2 linked regions of the Bombyx mori genome follow. The protein of the gene in region 1 interacts with the protein of each later gene in a biochemical or structural test. Links are inferred from orthologs where the notes say so. Each region holds a gene or a part of one and is shown on either strand. Other genes may lie near its edges.

Region 1 (4,288 bases):
TATGAAAAAATAAACATGGAACATCTATCTATCTTTTATCTTTCAACCCACACATATATTTTTTGTGTATTTCAATATTAGGACACTAACCTTATAAATCAACTCGACTATGACCAATTGAAGAATATCTCCAAAGCTGTGTACATTATCGAGCCTAGAAGACAAATATGTCAAAGCACGCTCTTGGTCAGCATGCAGCAGCATGAGGAAGGCATTACGCTTGCAAGACATGTCTTGCTCAGTCTCCAGGAAGTTTGCTACCAGCTCCGGTGCATCAGGAATTAGGAATTCAAAGTTCCTAAAAGGAAAATTTTAATACTGATATATTATGAATAACATTTAATTGTTACAGATGAATTCCCAGGGCATTTCCTATTTGATCTATTTTATTGATAGAAGATAATATATTAATATACCTCTTAATCTTAATATAGCTATAACCAGTTTTAAGTTTTGCAATTACAAGATCCATATTATTTTTTTATATCATCATATATTATAAGACTTCCTGTGGTTGATTAACTTTACAAATGAATTTAGATTTTATATATTCCTCACCTATATATGGTAAAAATAGCAAGAACAGCATTCCTCCTGACATACGAATGTCTGTGCTCGAGACAGGACCGTATGGCTGGCATTAGGGGTTCAAGGAGTTCAGGCTCTTTCAGCTTGCACAGAAAACGCAGAGTAGATCCGCGAATGAACTCATTTGGATGTTGAAGATCCTATAGTCGATTTAAATACTGTTACACTCAAATCACAGTGGTAGGATGATTAACTAGTAAATTAATAAAATTATAAAGAACACATTTTTAAAAGTTATTAAAATCAAATACTGTTTGTTTACAGTTAAATTTTGAAACAGTAGACTCTAAAATGCATAAATAGCTATGAGATTTGAACGCAGCTACAATTCTCTGACAAAATAGAGACAGTTTCATACTAATTTTCTTGGAAATAATCACTTCAAAAAGGCAAAAATATGATTGTCACCCTAACCTTTCTATAGGCATCACAGACAAGGATCATTTCCTGCAATAATTTTCCATCAGGTGAGGTCTTTGGTACAATCTCCCAAAAGATAAGTAGCAGCTTCTTGATCATGTGATCTTGCAATGGCAACACGAACCTAATAATGATCATGAGCAGACCTGGTATCTTTTCCCCAGAAAGTATTATTCCTATTGTCTTTTTTAATGCTTCTATTTTCTTTTTTGTATCACCTTTCTCTGTAAAGTTTGTGATGTAAAATATAATTTAGTCAACATTGGGGGCAAGGTTGCTTATTTTATTTACTACAAAAAATATTTGTGATTACCATCTACCACTGTAGACGGTGCATAAAACTTTTTATTTCAAAAACAAGCGTTTTGAAGGGTTTTCAAATATGTATTAAGGATAAAAATATTTTTATGTTGTCTGATAGGGAAATGTACATTTTAGAAGTACATTTCTTTTAGAAGTTTTTATTATATACTGAACACATGTGTTTTTTAGTAGTCATTTGCAAAACATAATTCCTAAGTCTACTCAATTTCAAAAAATATTCATAGCATATTAATGCATATTTTTCAGACTTTTTAGGTCTAAATAGGAACTAATAACATAAGTGCAAACTACAAATTAATGTAGATCAGAGTTACTGGTGTACAGTAACACCCTATGTAATGAATAATAATAATAACACAGATCCAAAAGTATACATGCATAATACTGGGGGGTCAAGGTAGCAATCACACTTCCAAGTCGTTACCACATTTTTGGAAGAAAAAAGTTGTATTGTAATTTCCAAGTCACTAATAAATAGCTTTTACTGACCAAGAATTATGCAAAACTACTCACCAAGATCAAGTTTAAGTTGCATCTCATTGCATGGTTCTAAATCAGTTGGAAAATTGATAAGAGTATAGCATGGCTGCTCCACAACCGCCATCCTGAGTTAAACATTTAAATTTATTAGTAATAATTTGACTGTAACTGCAAATTTTCTAATCACAATTCATGTTTATTCAAAACCAGAAAACATTTGTTAATTACTCTTCAAACCATTTAATGATGATCCCCAGGTCATAAGCATTGACAATGCCATAGCTAAACTTGAGCTGGTTCATCATTCTGCAACACTAATGGAATCAGCTAACATATTGCCCTTAAGGATGTCAGTTTGTAGAGTACTACCAGTATAATAGATACCAGAACAATTGTAGAACACTGTTGTTGCAAACCTCCTAACGTTATTACTAATAATCTAACAATTATGGAAAACAAGATCATAAATAAGAGTAGCCAATGTAGATTATTAACATGTGTTTTACTCAACTTTTCAGCTGTCCCGATCCTGGCAGTGTTAATTTATGGGCAAATAAATGTGTGTGTGTGTGTGTTTGGTCATATTTAGTTAGTAATGTATTTCTTTAATTTTTATTTTTCTATGTTTATCCTACTAGTTAAATGATCCAGTTGGAAAATCAAAATTGCAATTGTTTAAGATTGCTTTAAAAGTATAGTTGTAATTTACGATCATTCGTATTCAATATTTCGTTTGCTATCATATGTTAGCAGATATTTTAGGCAGTAGCATCAACACGATAGAGTGTTGATATGATACTGCCTAAAAATTCGTGGTTTACTCGTCCGGTATACAGTGACATGTTGTTCTCATACTAACCTGAATGAGTTAAAGATATACTGGGCCACGAAATCACACGATAAGAATGAACTATGAATAATTCAATAATCCTTCATGTATGTACTAAAATACACAAAAAAACGATAAATTAATCCAATTTATTAATTTAGCTCCTCCTCATACACAAATACGTGTCCAGAAACCGACATGTCATTTACGCCACTCAAGTGACATTTGACGTTTTAAGTGTTTTTTTTATTTTTTTTATTGCTTAGATGGACGAGCTCACAGCCCACCCGGTGTTAATTGCTTACTGGAGCCCATAGACATCTACAACGTAAATGCTACCACCCACCTTGAGATATGAATTCTAAGGTCTCAGTATAGTTATAAAAGCTACCCAACCTTCAAACTGAAACGCATTACTGCTTTACGGTAGAAAATAGGCGCTTTGGTGGTACCTACCCGTGCAGACTCACAAGCACAAGAGGTCCTACCACCTGTAAGGTAATGTCTTTTCAAATTTTTAATATATATATTTTTTTTATTGCTTAGATGGGCGAACGAGCTCACAGCCCACCTGGTGTTAAGTGGTTACTGGAGCCCATAAACATCTACAACGTAAATGCGTCACCCACCTTGAGATATAGGCTCTAAGATCTCGGTATAGTTACAACGGCTGCCCTACTTTTCAGACCGAAACGCATTACTGCTTCACGGCAGAAATAGGCGGGGCGGTGGTACCTACCCGCGCGGACTCACAAAAGGTCCTACCACCATTTAATATTTCTAGACGTGTGCTATATTTTGATAATTTAGTTTTTCTTCATGTTTGAAGGTATAAATTGTTTATCATTCGACGTGGCTTCTCAAGTTTTTCCAAAAAGTCAGTTAACCTCGTAAAAAATTTCCATAATTTTCCTCGGAAAATATTTTATTGCCTCTGCATTTATTTGGGATGTTGTTTTGGTTCATTTTATCCAATTGAAATTAAAATCATTGAGTTTTACTCAAAAATTTCAATTGCTTAATCACTGAAAGAAATCGATGAAAATCAATTTGATTGACTGTCACCAACTACATATTATTATATTGATCGAAGGAAAAGTAACAAAAAATACATATCAGTTGTCACTACAAAGGAGAAGAGTAGTGTAAATTATAAAATAGAATTAAGAGACCAATTGATTCAAGATTACTCACATGATTCCAAACAATCAGACTCTACACTTCAATTTTCATAAAAAACGGCGCGGCTTTTGCGTTCAAAGTTAAGAATGCTTTGGACTGTGTTTCCTTTGCTTATCCTAGGAACCGAATAAGTATATATTTTTATTATCATTAATTGACATCGAATTCAAATTCGATTCAGTGGGAATTGTATTGAAATTCGATCAATTTTATATTAGTGGATTTACATGAATTATTTCCGTGATACGTTAGATATTTTTCAGTCGACAGCTTTTGTCAATAAACTCCTATATCCATTTTGGGAATGTATTTCAATCAATTTTTTAATCAATAGATACAAAAAAAATCAGAATGGATGTTTTAGTTACACTTTTCTACGTTCTATTCTCTATATGCGTTGTTTATCCGCCTACCGAGTTCGTGTCTGCAGGATTCACAATTGCTCAGCTATTTGATAACTACTTG
Region 2 (3,057 bases), on another chromosome or scaffold:
TACTTACTCATATTTATTTATTTATTTATCAGTCAACCAGTCAACCAAAAGTAGTGCAGAGTAAATAGTGGTAGGTGCAATGAAATTTATATTAAGTTGAAAATACATACAGAAAAAAGTATATACATAAATACATACAATGACATATACATATACATACATACACACATATATAATATATACATGTAGTAGTAGTGTTAACTATGAATATTTTGGGAGGCTTAAACGACAAAGGGAAGATCTTCCACCGAGCGGGTGATATTTCTCGGTAGACCGACGGTCCGAAAGTTGTTGTTCGGAACTTGTATGTATGTGAGCTTATCTGGAAAATGTCGTCAGCGAGATTCAGGCATCTGTAAAATATATTTTTTAAGGGATTTTATGACCTGGTAACTGAGACCTTTAAGTCATGTCTTATTTTAATTTATATTCATATTTTTATGAAAAATGATATTATGGAGTGAAATGAAATGAAGATGGTTAATTTGAGACATTAATCAACTGGGATGAAATTAAATGAGATGATATGGGATGAAATATAATCTCAGTAAAATGGTGGTCATTTACTAAGATTTTTTCAGTGGACTTTTTGGAGGATCCGGAGACGTTACGTACAGCGGCTTTGTTTCATTTCCCACATTTGTGCACTTTCACAGATATTAAACAATTAATAAACCACTATTATTACACATCTAAACCTGAACAAACAGTAAATAGACAAAATAAAACAAATCACACAACTTCACTTCTCGCGTTCCCGCCAAAAAGTCCTCTGTCAAATATTTTGCGTTGTATGATGGCTACCCGCCACAAATATGAACTCATATTAGTAGTGTTAACTACGAATCAGATTGTGGGTATTTTGAAAAAAAAACCTCATGTTTCTGTTTTACGCTGCTAATTATGTTGAAATCAGTTTTGCAATCAAAACTCCTTAACTCGCTATTTTGGATTTCACTGTTCTAATTTAAAAGGTGGCATTATTTCAGTTCTGGCAACACTTCGGTGGTGGTGCACCAGTGGGAGGGTAGCTACACGCAGAAGGGACGCAACCTCATCTGGAGCATTCCGCTCGTGAGCAAACAACAGAAAACCGGGAGTCTTGAGTTCACGTGAGTTTTGACTACCCTCCCTAAGGAACGTGGATCTCCATAATGATTTGGAGCTTGATTCAGTATTTACAGTCGTCATCATTGCGCCACTTTGAGAAGGCGGCACGACATGAGAACCCTCTTGTCGTGGCTTTTATTTTATTTTCATTGCTTAGAAGTGTGGACGAGCTCACAGCCCACCTGGTGTTAAGTGGTTGCTGGAAACCATGGACATCTACAACGTAAATACCGCCACCCACCTTGAGATATAAGTTCTAAGGTCTCAGTATAGTTACAACGGCTGTCCCACCCTGCAAACCGAAACGCATTACTGCTTCACGGCAGAAATAGACAGGGAGGTGGTACCTACCGTACCGTGCGGACTTACAAGACGTCTTACCACCAGTAATATATGTTAATCCGTGATCCGTGATCCACACCGAGCTGTAGACTAACCATTTGATTTTTATTAAACATTAATTTCCCTCTTTTAATTTTATTTTTATTGTTGATTGTTTTTTGTAAGTTTTTATATGCAGTTTTTGTTTTCTTTGTCTTAGTTTTATTAATATTAGTTGTCGATATTTTTATCTTAAGCACAACCGCTCTTTAAAGCAAGATGTGTTCACATCCAAAAGGGTGAATTCTACAATATATTTTTTTCCAAATAAGTTCAATGTTTATCTATGCAGGTTTTATCCAGTTGTGTGAAGTTAACAATAAAAAAATAAAAAAAAATACATGTCTGCAATTCACACGTGGTAGAAGTGAAACCTTCCAAAATTAAAATACAATTATCCTAAACGTCCTAAATTTTGTCATTAGTAAATAATTGTAAGGTAGCGCCCTCTGTGAATTGATATTTTAATTTCACGTATAATCCTAAATTAAAATTCACTACAAGAGCTTTCATACACACGTTAGTATTAAAAAATCTCACAGATGGCGCTGTATTAAATAGTATATATATTTCTGTCTCATTCTTTGCTGGCTTCATCCTACACATTTTTGTATTTGTGTCTCTTACCTGTCGTTTTTTCCGTTGCATCCGGTTTGAAATCACAACGATTCTAAAGAAGTTTTCACTTCAAAAGAAACATTGAGATAGGAGTTGATTCCATCAAACGTTTTACATTCACAGCGTCACTCCGTCTATACCCAACGACTTCTTCCCGCTCTCCGTGACGTGGACATCGGAAACTTCACTTGCATTATTGACAGCTGTCAAAGTGACGCAAGCGGAAGACGGGTCGCCCGTTGACTTCTCTCAAGAGATCAGTTTCCACGCAGACAAATACGAGTTTGTTTAAACAAATTATTAGTTGTTTTATTTTTTCTTCGTATAGTGGGAAACATTATGTGAATTTATTTTTAATGATTAAAAAAACCCTGCATTATTTGTGTATCGGTAATAAATATATATTGTAAATTAAGACAATGTTTGATTTTACGAATGTGTTTGTTGAAGTGCATTGTTTTGAAATTTTAAAGTTACTGGCAATCAATAAAATCATAGAAGAATATTGTAGATTAAGCGAAAGACACGTTGGTATGTAAAAGTTGATCCAAAAAAATAAACCCGGAGTAATGGAAATTCAACTCTGTGCTGTCGGTGTTTAAAGTTCATTTTAATATTGTGTCAATAACACTATACACATTGCTTAAGATGCTATGCTCATCTACTATCAAGTAGAATGCGTTCTCGAAACATCTTACCAACATTACCGTGAGGGTAGATTGGAAATTTATAAAAGCCTATAATAACTACACGATATATAGCCAGAGATGTAAAGTAACATTGTAGAATTTATTAAATAAATAAAAAATATAAAACAAACAACTGAATTTGTAGTTTTTCTTTTATTGCTGAAACGAATGAATGAGCACGCGGTAAGCCCGATGTTAAGTGAGCACTGGGGCCCATAGGCATCAACAACGTAAATGCCGCATCGACCTTGTCAATTTG

Evidence for each region.
Region 2: the proteins of COPB (region 1) and COPD form a complex in vitro, tested with the Homo sapiens proteins (2 studies listed by BioGRID). The link is inferred for Bombyx mori from reciprocal best matches to the Homo sapiens genes COPB1 and ARCN1.

Annotation. Positions count from the first base shown.
Region 1 is NC_085119.1:987,153-991,440, forward strand, and holds the start of COPB (coatomer protein complex subunit beta), read right to left. Parts: upstream 2,876-4,288; 5' UTR 2,672-2,875; intron 1,938-2,671; 5' UTR 1,937-1,937; coding exon 1,846-1,936; intron 1,233-1,845; coding exon 1,003-1,232; intron 729-1,002; coding exon 559-728; intron 299-558; coding exon 91-298; intron 1-90. Other genes in the region: E3 ubiquitin-protein ligase TM129, read left to right, coding at 4,175-4,288. UniProt on the Homo sapiens protein: The coatomer is a cytosolic protein complex that binds to dilysine motifs and reversibly associates with Golgi non-clathrin-coated vesicles, which further mediate biosynthetic protein transport from the ER, via the Golgi up to the trans Golgi network.
Region 2 is NC_085130.1:5,911,517-5,914,573, reverse strand, and holds the end of COPD (coatomer protein complex subunit delta), read left to right. Parts: intron 1-989; coding exon 990-1,112; intron 1,113-2,232; coding exon 2,233-2,401; 3' UTR 2,402-2,524; downstream 2,525-3,057. UniProt on the Homo sapiens protein: Component of the coatomer, a cytosolic protein complex that binds to dilysine motifs and reversibly associates with Golgi non-clathrin-coated vesicles, which further mediate biosynthetic protein transport from the ER, via the Golgi up to the trans Golgi network.